Linked DNA regions of Sus scrofa. The protein of the gene in region 1 purifies or fractionates together with the protein of each later gene. This does not show direct contact. Links are inferred from orthologs where the notes say so. Each region holds a gene or a part of one and is shown on either strand. Other genes may lie near its edges. The genes, in order: EXOC6, EXOC7 and EXOC3.

What was found.
Region 2: the proteins of EXOC6 (region 1) and EXOC7 purify together in Homo sapiens (affinity purification with mass spectrometry; 4 studies listed by BioGRID and IntAct, counting the BioPlex papers as one, with this or other methods). This does not show direct contact. The link is inferred for Sus scrofa from reciprocal best matches to the Homo sapiens genes EXOC6 and EXOC7.
Region 3: the proteins of EXOC6 (region 1) and EXOC3 purify together in Homo sapiens (affinity purification with mass spectrometry; 6 studies listed by BioGRID and IntAct, counting the BioPlex papers as one, with this or other methods). This does not show direct contact. The link is inferred for Sus scrofa from reciprocal best matches to the Homo sapiens genes EXOC6 and EXOC3.

Annotation. Positions count from the first base shown.
Region 1 is NC_010456.5:104,382,413-104,386,062, forward strand, and holds part of EXOC6 (exocyst complex component 6), read left to right. Parts: intron 1-1,641; coding exon 1,642-1,813; intron 1,814-3,066; coding exon 3,067-3,114; intron 3,115-3,204; coding exon 3,205-3,295; intron 3,296-3,650. UniProt on the Homo sapiens protein: Component of the exocyst complex involved in the docking of exocytic vesicles with fusion sites on the plasma membrane.
Region 2 is NC_010454.4:5,337,975-5,341,624, forward strand, and holds part of EXOC7 (exocyst complex component 7), read left to right. Parts: intron 1-1,712; coding exon 1,713-1,935; intron 1,936-3,650. UniProt on the Homo sapiens protein: Component of the exocyst complex involved in the docking of exocytic vesicles with fusion sites on the plasma membrane.
Region 3 is NC_010458.4:79,709,765-79,713,414, reverse strand, and holds part of EXOC3 (exocyst complex component 3), read left to right. Parts: intron 1-229; coding exon 230-330; intron 331-1,612; coding exon 1,613-1,723; intron 1,724-1,902; coding exon 1,903-2,053; intron 2,054-3,650. UniProt on the Homo sapiens protein: Component of the exocyst complex involved in the docking of exocytic vesicles with fusion sites on the plasma membrane.

The DNA.
Region 1 (3,650 bases):
CAAAGGGAACTCCAAGGCCTAAGTTCTTAATGATTGCTACCTTATATTACTATCTTTAGTGTTATGATAGGTATTCTTCCCTCAAGAAGCTTACAGTTTATGTGTAAAAATATATGACATATACTTGAAAAATTTAAGTTACAATGTGAAGTAATGTAATTTTATTGTATATTTTATTTATAATTTGTCAGAGGGAGTAGAAAGGACTATATGTTTACCTTTTCTATAGTTGAAAAGATTACTTGGTATGGAGATACTGAGAAAGTCCTGCTGGAAGAAATGGAACTTGAATTGAACCTCAAACAATGGGCAACAGATGGGGAGTCACATTTTTGGAGGGCCCCAAGGCTAGCTTCAGGTTCAGTAATTCACTAGGAGGACTCACAGAATTTACCAAAGTTGTTATACTCACAGTTACTGTTTGCTACAGCAAAAAGATACAGATTAAAATTAACAAGAGATGGCATATGAGGCAGGGTCTAGGAGAGTCCCACTGGGGAGCTTCCAGTTGTCCCTTCCCAGTGGAATCCGTGTGGGTAGCAATGATATGTGGCAACACTCATGGAGTATTACTAACCAGGGAGGCTCTCCTAAGCCATGATGTCCAGAGTTTTTACCAGAGGTTTGTCCCCTTGATGCCACTAAGTGGTTTGAGTTGCTCATCCAAATTTTCAGGCCCTCCAAAGCTGTTACCGTGTGGCTTGATGGCTCCACCTACTATAAATCACATTATAAGTCACATTGTTAGCTTTGACTGTTTGGCATTGCTCAAGACACCCAAGTAAAAAAGGCATCTGTCATGCAGAACATTCCAAAGGCTAGCCTCCCAGGAATTGGGGGCAAGGGCCAAACCTTTCTTTGGGCAAGGTTAATCCTTTACTGCATGGTGGGTGGAAAAGTCCCTCAGTGTAGAGACAGCATGAGCTGAGATACTGGAGGAGTGCAAATGCCGTGTTTATAGAAAACATTGTGGTGACTGCAGTATGGCCTTATACTTGAAATTATGAACTCTGCAGCCAGACTACTGGGATTCATATCCTGGCTGTTGTGACATTTATGATAGTTACATAATTTTAATCTTTCTGTAAATTAGTAAGGGTAGTAATAATTCATACATTATAGACTTTGTCAAGATTAAAGAGTTAATACATAAAACACTCAGAATATGTCCTGAGGAGTTCCCTGGTATCCTAGTGGTTAAGGACCTGGCATTGTCACTGCTGTGGTACGGGTTCTGTCCGTGGCCTGGGGACTTCTGCATGCGGTAGGCATGGTCAAAAAAAGAGAAAAGACTATGCCCTGATGCATAGTAAATGCTGTAGAAACCAGGAGTTTGTTTATGCATTCCTTAATTATTCACTTAGTGATTCCTTTTTTGAGTACTTGTAAATTGAAGACTCATCTCCTGAGTCTCAGACCTTTATTTCCAGATCCCTAGTGATGTGTCTAGAAGGCTTATGGCTCTTTAAATATTAACATGTTCAAAAAGAATTTAAGTATTTTCTACCCAAATTATTTCTACTCATGTCAGTGCTATCATTCTAGCTTATTCAGAGATTTTTTGTAAAGATTTGGGTTAATAAAGAGTAAATTTTGGTGAACTGGGAAGTTAATGTTAGCTTTCTTTTTGTATATATACAGGTCTGTGTATGATGACCAACCAAATGCACACAAGAAGTTTATGGAAAAGTTGGATGCTTGTATCCGTAATCATGACAAGGAAATTGAGAAGATGTGTAATTTTCATCATCAGGGTTTTGTAGATGCTATTACAGAACTTCTTAAAGTAAGAACTGATGCAGAAAAACTGAAGGTAAGAAATACCTTTTTACCTTTGCTCTCATTAAATTACTCAAGTATTAATTTATAGTGCATATTTACAAACATTATTAAATGTGCTAACTTCAAGAAGTGAATTCGTGTATATATTTGGGAATGCTCTGTTAACACAGTTGTCATGCTAATGACAGAAGTAATCTCTCTTTTCTTTGTAAAGCAAGTAATGCATTGACTCAACAGGATTTCTTTCCATGCAGGGGAATGAATTAAAAAAGTTCACACAGTGAAAGTCCTCATGTCATCAGGGTTCTAAAGTAACAATTAGTACAATATTGATAAAAAGTTATCTTCTGAAAATTTAAAAAAACTTACTGTATGTAATTGTGTTCTCAAAATTATTTAATAATAGTGAAACTTTAAATTTTTTTTCTTTATTTAATAGCAGCATATAATATTCTTAAAGTTGGTCTACATTTTCTTCCACATAGCAAAAACATTTATTGAATGAGACCTAGATTTGTTTTGTCAGAATACAAAATACTTAGTTATAAGAATTGTCCTATTTCTCTTTCTTTACATTTGGAGAGCTTAGCAGCAGAACGACCCTGGTTCACCAAAGGTTATGATTAGAAAACCATTATATAAAGGATATTCAGATAACAAGAGACCAAATACAGCATCAATGAGGTCACTGAGCATCTTTGTTCAGAAATTAATGAGATTTTTAATAAACCAGAATGTGCTTCCTTACTATGATGACCTAATGAGTCACTTAATATGTGGGAAAATTTGAGGTTGAGCTTTGCCTGCACCTGCAGCATTAAAATGTTGCTGTGGATTGAGATTTCCGTGTTTGATGTTAATCAACCACCCAGTGTTTGCATTCAGCAAAGTATGAATGTTTAATTACCATAAAATGCAATCACCATTTCCTACAGACAATGAATGGCACATAGACCTCATTGAAGTTATCAAAAAGGGACCAGTGGTCAATTGGGTCAGTGATTTGAATTGTTTGACAGACTTAGAGAAGCAAGTAAAGTTCAAAAATCTAGATTAAATTTGAGAAGTTTGCCACAGAATCTGTTAAAAAGAACTGTCATAAGTAATTGAAGTTAACAAAAGCCCTTTTCAATCAAAAGTTCAAGTTCAAGCTGTAGAGTTAATTTGAATTTGCATTTCTTTGTTCTAAGTTTCTCATGAAGCATGATCTGATTACAAGGGTGAGCAGTTACATCAGGGCAGTTTTATGCATATTTGTCTAACTAAGGTGAAATTATTTTTAAGGTGCAAGTTACTGATACCAACCGAAGATTTCAAGATGCTGGAAAGGAGGTGAGAAAATGATACCTTTTTTTGTGCATTCAATATGTGGATACAATTTAACTGTTCATTTTAAAATATGAATGTTTCTTCTTTTTAAAGGTCATTGTCCAAACGGAAGATATTATTCGATGTAGAATTCAGCAGAGGAATATTACAACTGTAGTAGAAAAATTACAGTTATGCCTTCCAGGTGAGTTTAACTTGTCTGTAATGTAACATTCAGCCTGGCTGAACTGTAATTTAATGATAGCAGTTTAATAATAACGAGATGGTCATTATTCATTATGATAGTTACAGATTACTTGGTGATTGTCCCCCTAAATCCCATGGTTTTCTTTCCTATCTACTTTATTCCCTGAATTTTCATGGCTTTCTTTATCATAAGGCCCCTATTTGATGATCTTACGTCAGTCTCCTAGAACAAACTCTGCCTTTCCATCTCTTTTCTGCCTAGTTTGTCCTTTGTCCCTCCCCACCCCTCCATTTTTTTCCTCTCAGAATACTTTCCCATGGGGAAAGTATCTTTTCATTACGTTTTTTTCTCC
Region 2 (3,650 bases), on another chromosome or scaffold:
AAACATCTCTACTGAGATAGAATTCACGTACCGTGAAATTTGCCCCCTTAAAGTATCACATTCATTGGTCCTCGTGTAATCGCAGAGTTGTGCGACATCACTAGAATAAACTTTACAACGTTCCCGTCGCTCCCCCAAAAGCCAGAACCCGCTGGCCGTCACTCTTCTTCCCTGCCCTCCCGTCCACCCAGCCTCTGATGATCACTGCTCTATTTCCTCTCTCTAAATTTGCCTGTTCCTGGCTCAGCAGTTAACAAACCCGACTAGCATCCACGAGGATGCGGGTTCGATCCCTGGCTTCGCTTGGTGGGTTGAGGATCCGGCATTGCCGGGACTTCTGGTGTGGGATGCTGATGCTCAGGTCCCACCTCGCTGTGGCTGTGGGGTAGGCCAGCAGCCGTATCCCCCATTTGACTCGTAGCCTGGGAACCAGCATATGCAGCTGGAAAATGTTGCCTGCTTTGGACCTCATGTAAGTGGAAGCCTGCAGTATACGTGACCTCTCCCGTCTGGCCTTCACTCAGCAGAGTGCTTTCAACGTCCTTCCATGTGGCGGCCTGTGTCAGTGCCTCCTTTCATCGTGTGGCTGAATCCTGCTGCAGTGTAAGCATCTGCCACGTTTCATGCATCCGTTCCTCGCTGGTGGACACGCCCCTTTGGGGCTGTCATGAACAGTGTTGCATGGCACCCTGAGCACCTGCTGTGGTGTGGACTTCTGCTTCCAGGTCTCTTAGCTGCCCTGGATACCTGTCTCCCATAAGATACACGATTTGCAAGCATTTTCTCTCATTCCATGGGTTGTCTTTTCACTTTTCACTTTTTCTTTTTCTTTTTTTTTCTTTTTTTTTTTTGCCCTTTTTAGGGCCACCCCCGCGGCACATGGAAGTAAGTCCCCAGGCCAGGGGTCGAATTAAAGCTACAGCTGCCAGCCTACACTACAGCTCACGGCAATGCCGGATCGTTAACCCACTGAGCAAGGTGGGGGATCGAACCTGTGTCCTCATGGTTACTAGTCAGATTCCTTACCACTGAGCCACTATGGGAACTCCCTTTTCACTTTTTTCATGGTATCATTTGCAGCATGAAAGTTTTGAACTTGACATAGTCCAGTGTATCTGTTTTTCTTCTTCTGCAAAACCTTTTCTTTTTTTTTGTCTTTTGTCTTTTTAGGGCTACACCTGTGGCACATGGAGGTTCCAAGGCCAGGGGTCCAACCGGAGCTATGGCCGCCAGCCCACACCACAGCCACAGCAGTGCGGGATCTGAGCCTCATCTGCGACCTACACCATAGCTCACAGCAATGCCGGATCCTTAACCCACTGAGCAAGGCCAGGGATCGAACCCGCAACCTCACGGTTCCTAGTCGGATTCGTTTCCGCTGCGCCAAGACAGGAACTCCCTGTAAAACCTTTTCAAGCAAGAACACAAATGAATGGTGCAGCGAGAAAATCATCTGCTGATATTTGTAAAGCACCTCCTTCTTGTAAAACTCTCTGGGTTTCACCCGAGAGTGTACATTTTAAGAGCACACAAGGTGAAAGAAATGATCGAGGAAGGCTTCCCAGCATTTCTTCTCCGGCAAGAAGGAAGTGCAGGCAGGGAGGGCCGAGGCCCAGGATCAGGAAGGCGAGGGGAGAGGGTGGGGAGGCGAGGTCCAGCTGAGCTCTGGAGCAGCAGCCCAGCCCTCCCTCCCTCCCTCCCTGACCCCGTAGAAGCTGCTGTTTGAACGGGGGAAGGAGTCACTGGAGTCTGAGTTCCGCAGCCTGATGACCCGGCACAGCAAGGTCGTGTCGCCCGTGCTCATCCTGGATCTGATCAGTGGCGAGGACGACCTGGAGGTGCCGGACGAGGTGCCCCTGGAGCACCTGCCCGAGAGCGTGCTGCAGGACGTGATCCGCATCGCCCGCTGGCTGGTGGAATACGGCCGCAACCAAGGTGAGACGCCCGGGCAGCAGGGCCCCGCGCGGGGCCAGAGGAGGGGGTCTTTTCCCGTCGGTGTCTCTCATCCACCTGCATTTCTTTGAAGAAAAAGGAGTTCAGTAGGAAGCAATATGAGTAATAAATTTGTAGCTTATGTATCAAATTGAGAGTCTAGCTCACCCCAAGCATTTCTTCATATACCTAACTTTCCTATTTATTTAATTTTTTGGATTAATTATAAAAATTTCAGGAGGTCCCGCTATGGCTCAGGGGTCCCGGATCCAACATTGTCTCTGCAGCAGCTTGGATTGCTGTGGAGGCACAAGTTCGACCCGCAGCCCAGTGCTGTGGGCTAAAGAGCGATTGTTGCCACAGCTGTGGCATAGGTGGCGGCTGCAGCTCAGATTCAATCCCTGGCCCAGGAACTTTAATGAGGGGAAAAAAATTCAAACGGCACAGCAAAGCTTAGGTGAAAAGCGTTAAGTCCACCTCCCCACTTCCCTGATACTTACAGTGTCATAAACCAAAGATGAGTGCTGCTGAGATTAGTTATACCCTTCAGAAAAATGGTATGCAGCTCTGTGTGTGTGTGTGTGTGTGAGAGAGAGAGAGACAGACAGACAGACAGACAGACACAGAGAGTATGTGTGTGGCGTTTCCTCTCCTCATCCCCAGGTGGGAAGGAGCACATGCCATCCTCTGTCCTATGCTGGTTTTTTGGCTTTTGTTTTTAACTTAGTGATATGCCTTGAGAATTTTCCATATCATTACGTGTATATTTGCTTCACTGTTTTTAACGGTTGCATAATATTCCATGGTGTGGTGGTACCATCATTTCTTTAGCCAGTCCCAGACTCTAAAAAAAAAAATCCCAAGTTAAACAAAAATTTAAAAAAAACAACAACAAAACCTCAGAAGTTCTCTTGTGGTTAATTAAGGATCCAGTGTTGTCACTGTAGCAGCTTGGGTCACTGCTGTGGCGGGGGTTCAGTCCCTGGCCCCAGAACTTCCACATACCACAGGTGCAGCCAAAACCAGAAACAAAACCCCTAAAATTCTAACGAATATTCAATTTTAAGCTTTTTAGTCTCTAAACTCTTCTTTTCTCTGTTTTTTGTTTTGTTTTTGCCTTTTGTCTCTATAGGGCCGCACCCGCGGCATATGGAGGTTCCCAGGCTAGGGGTCTAATCAGAGCTGTAGCTGCCAGCCTACACCACAGCCATAGCAACGCTGGATCCTTAACCCATTGATCGAGGCCAGGGATCGAACCCACAACCTCATGGTTCCTAGTCGGATTCGTTTCCACTGCGCCACAATGGGAACTCCTTTTCTCTCTGTTAAATTGCACACATACCAAGTTGTCAGAGTGTGTCATCACTGCCCCTGCCTTCCCGCTGGGGCAACGTGCTGCTGAGTCTCAGGACAGCCTCTCCTAACCACGCAGTCACATTTGTGGCTCACAAGCTGCTCCGTGGGAGCCGAGGGCACGTGGGAGCTTTTCAGGAGCTCCCTTGGGATAAGAGAGAGGCCAGTGGCCGCCTTCAGACCCCTCAACCCCCTTCGGCCAGAGCCTCTGTGCACTGGTCCGTTTTTCACATGGGGTTCCTTGGGATACACTTGTTGGGACCTGCTGAAATGTACCACAGCATCCATACTTCTCCAGGCTCGTTTGCATTTTTGGATTGTCCAGTTTTCTTTAGGGCTGCGCCCATGGCATATGGAGGTTCCCA
Region 3 (3,650 bases), on another chromosome or scaffold:
CCTTCCCCCTTTGTGGAGACCGGCCCCTGTGCAAGTAATTAGGAAACGCACTGGGTTTTTACTTGGTAAGAAAGCTTGGGTTAACTGACTTTGTTATTTTTCAAGTTTTTTCTTTTTTTCTCTGAGTTTGGACTTTGCTGACTGCCAGGTGCCAGATGGGGGGCCTGTGTCCTGGGAAGCCCGCAGCTTGTGAGTCTGGGTCAGGACTCATACGCTCTCCAATTTTCAGATGTTCGAACAGAACCTTCAAGTCGCTGCTCAGATAAGTGAAGATTTGAAAACAAAGGTACTGGTTTTGTGTCTGCAGCAGATGAATTCTTTCTTAAGTAGGTATGTATTCTTGCCAGCGTGCTAACGCAGAAAGTATATTTTGTTTGTCTAATGAAGTGCAGAACTGTATTGTCCTGATCTGGCTGGTATTCAGAAAGGATAGTGTCTTGATTAAAAAATTCCGTGCGTAGGAACCCACGCAGCTCAAGCCCATGCTGCTCGGGGGTCCGCTGTGCTCCGCAGCACATCCCGGCCGTCATGGCGTTTCTTCCCGTGTTCTGTCCCGTGGGCACAGCGCCGGCGCCCTCGTAAAGCACTGATAGGCCTTCCACGGGGCCTCCTGATACTGGCTTGGGTTTGGGTTTTCCGTGGCCCCGGACCTACCTGTCTGTGGTGGTGCTCAGACCGGGCGGCGGAAGGGCGGCGTCCTGTGGTGCAGGGGAGCAGCCCCTCCGCATCAGGCCCCTGGCTTGTGGAGACACACGGATCAGCCTGGGCCCCTCTGCCCGCCTGCGAGGTTCCCCCGTATCTCCTCGCTGCCTCGCCGGAGCCCGGCCCAGGCAGGGTGCTCCGCATGCCTGCGAGGAGGCACGCGTCCCTTGTCCGGGCTGGTGGCTGGCTCTGACAGCCAGCCCTGCTGCCAGCCCACCTGCTTCCCCCCGTGGGGTCCACGGCCCGAGGCAGCCTCTTGTTGAGCATCTTCGGAGAAGCAGAAGTTTTCCTCTTGGGCCGCAGCTCTTGGCTCACCCAAACCGTGCTCTGCACAGGAGGCGGGATCGGTGCTCAGTTGTTGCCCTCGCGCCGCCTGCTCCCATGTGCTCCTTTCTTAAGGTCTGTTTAGGTCACACACGCTGTGTCCTACATTCTGCTCCTGTGTGTGCTCGAGAGGCTCATGGCACAGACAGAAACGCAGTCTGTAGCCTCTCCGTTGTTTGTTTTCATGATGTCTTAAAGAGTCTAGTGTATTTTTAGTTTGATTTCTTCGGGGAAAGTTCCCGAAAAGGACACTGTACCCCGGAGGTGACTGTGTTCCCCACGCTGTCGGACGAGTTTCCGGCAAGCCCCGGGCCGGGGAATGTGGTCCTTTACCCGCCCGCACAGATGTGCAGCGTGTCTGGAGCGTCGGAACACAGAGCCGTTCCACACGGCCTGACGTGAAGCTGGTTTAATGATCCGTTTCAAACGATCAGCTTCCGTCAGTGTGGCTCACACCCCACATAACTTTAGACTCATCTGGCCAGATGTTAGTGAGGCAGAATCATGCCTCAGGCACAGTGGTGGCGGCCCGTCGCGACGCCCCGGCGCGCCCGTGAGGCTGCTCTGATGCGGGCTGTGTCCCCAGGTACAAGGAGGAGGCGCAGCTGTACAAGGAGGAGCACCTGCGGAACCGCCAGCAGCCGCACTGCTACGTGCAGTACATGGTGGCCATCATCAACAACTGCCAGACCTTCAAGTGAGCGGCACGGGCGGAGGGGCCCGACCCTCTCCTCGCAGGGGGGCCATCGTCAGCCTCACCGGGCCCCGACCCCTCTTCTCGCAGGGGGGCCATCGTCAGCCTCACCGGGCCCCGACCCCTCTCCTCGCAGGAGGCCATCGTCAGCCTCACCGGGCCCCCATCCCCTCTCCTCGCAGGGAGTCCATAGTCAGTTTAAAAAGAAAGTATTTAAAACACGAAGCAGAAGAAGGCGCAGCTCTGAGCCAGCTGAGCATGGACGGGGTCCTGGACGCCATCGCCAAGGACGGCTGCAGCGGCTTGCTGGAGGAGGTCTTCCTGGACCTGGAGGTGGGCGCCTCCTCCTGCCCGCCCGCCCACCTCTGGGACACGGTGCTGTGGACCCCACAGGCTGGGTGGGCCCCCCGAGGCAGGGTCGAATCTCATCTGCAGTAAATGTTAGAGGCCTAAGCACCCAGTAGGTTAGAGTGGAAACAAGGACGTGGCAAGGGCCCGGTGACACGCATCAGCAAGCTCTTGATGCCAGAGCCGAACCGGGGACACATGCAGGCCTGTGCATGCCTCACGCAGAGCAAAGGCAGAAGCATGGTCGTTCTCAAAGCACATTCAGGTCGGATCAAAGGCTCAGTGTCCAGTGAGTGAGTGCGTTTGTTTCAGAAATGGCTCAAGGAGTTCCCGTCGTGGCGCAGCGGTTAACGAACCCGACTAGGAACCATGAGGTTGCGGGTTCGATCCCTGCCCCGGCTCAGTGGGTTAAGGATCCGGCGTTGCCGTGAGCTGTGGTGTAGGTTGCAGACGTGGCTCGGATCCCGAGTTGCTGTGGCTCTGGCGTAGGCCGGTGGCTACAGCTCCGATTAGACCCCTAGCCTGGGAACCTCCATATGCCACGGGAGTGGCCCCAAAAATAGCAAAAAGACAAAAAAAAAAAAAAAGAAAAAGAAATGGCTCAGCATTACATAGAGTTGGCAGGAGTCAGAACATATTTAAAAAACAGACTCATCATCACCTAGGGTCCTGCTGGGCTCCTGGGGTGATGGGGTCATTTCGTGATGTCTGTTACTTTCTCAGGAATGGATTAGGAAACAATTGAAATGTATGCTTTTAAAATCATCTCAAGATACCTTAAAAAGACTGCAACAGAGGTAGACAAAGGACGTGAACGTCTGTCTCACAGAAAAGGGTTCGGATACCCTCAGTACAAAACAAAAGGCCCCGTCTGATCTTGAAAGAACAGCAAGTTAAAACCGAGTAGTTTTGTTGCTTAGCAGGACAGCGCGGATTGAGAATGTTTCTTCTTGGTGTTGAGAGTGTGGGGATAGAGCCTCTCGTTCCCTTGTGGAACCGTGAATTGGTGCAGTTTTTGGAGGCAGTTGGGAAACGGTTATCAAGGTTTAGTCTGCATGCTTTAGACTGAGCAGCTCCACCTCTAGGGATTTCACTTGCAGAAATACACAGATTCAGCGCAGCTTTTTTTTTTTTTCTTTTTAGGGCCGTACTTGCAGCATATGGAAGTTCCCAGGCTAGGGGTTGAATCAGAGCTATAGCTGCCAGCCTACACCACGGCCACAGCCACTCAGGATCCGAGCCATGTCTGCGACCTACGCCACAGTTCAGGGCAATGCCCAGATGCTTAACCTGCTGAGCCACAGCAGGAACTCCCAGTGCAGCAGTGCAGCGTTCTTTATAATAGCAAAATGAGAACATTTAAATGTCCATCAGAATTGGGCACATAAACTACACAGCATCCACACAATAAACAGATGGAGTCCATTAGGAGAAAACGTACCTGCGGGTATCCACACCGGGTTTGTGCACACCTCCTATAAATTCCGCATCTGCAGAGTTTCTCTGCGTATCGAAGACACAGGAAGACGGGCTCTCTGTGCCTCGCGGGGACCTGACGGCACTTGGGGACAGTGTCAGGGCT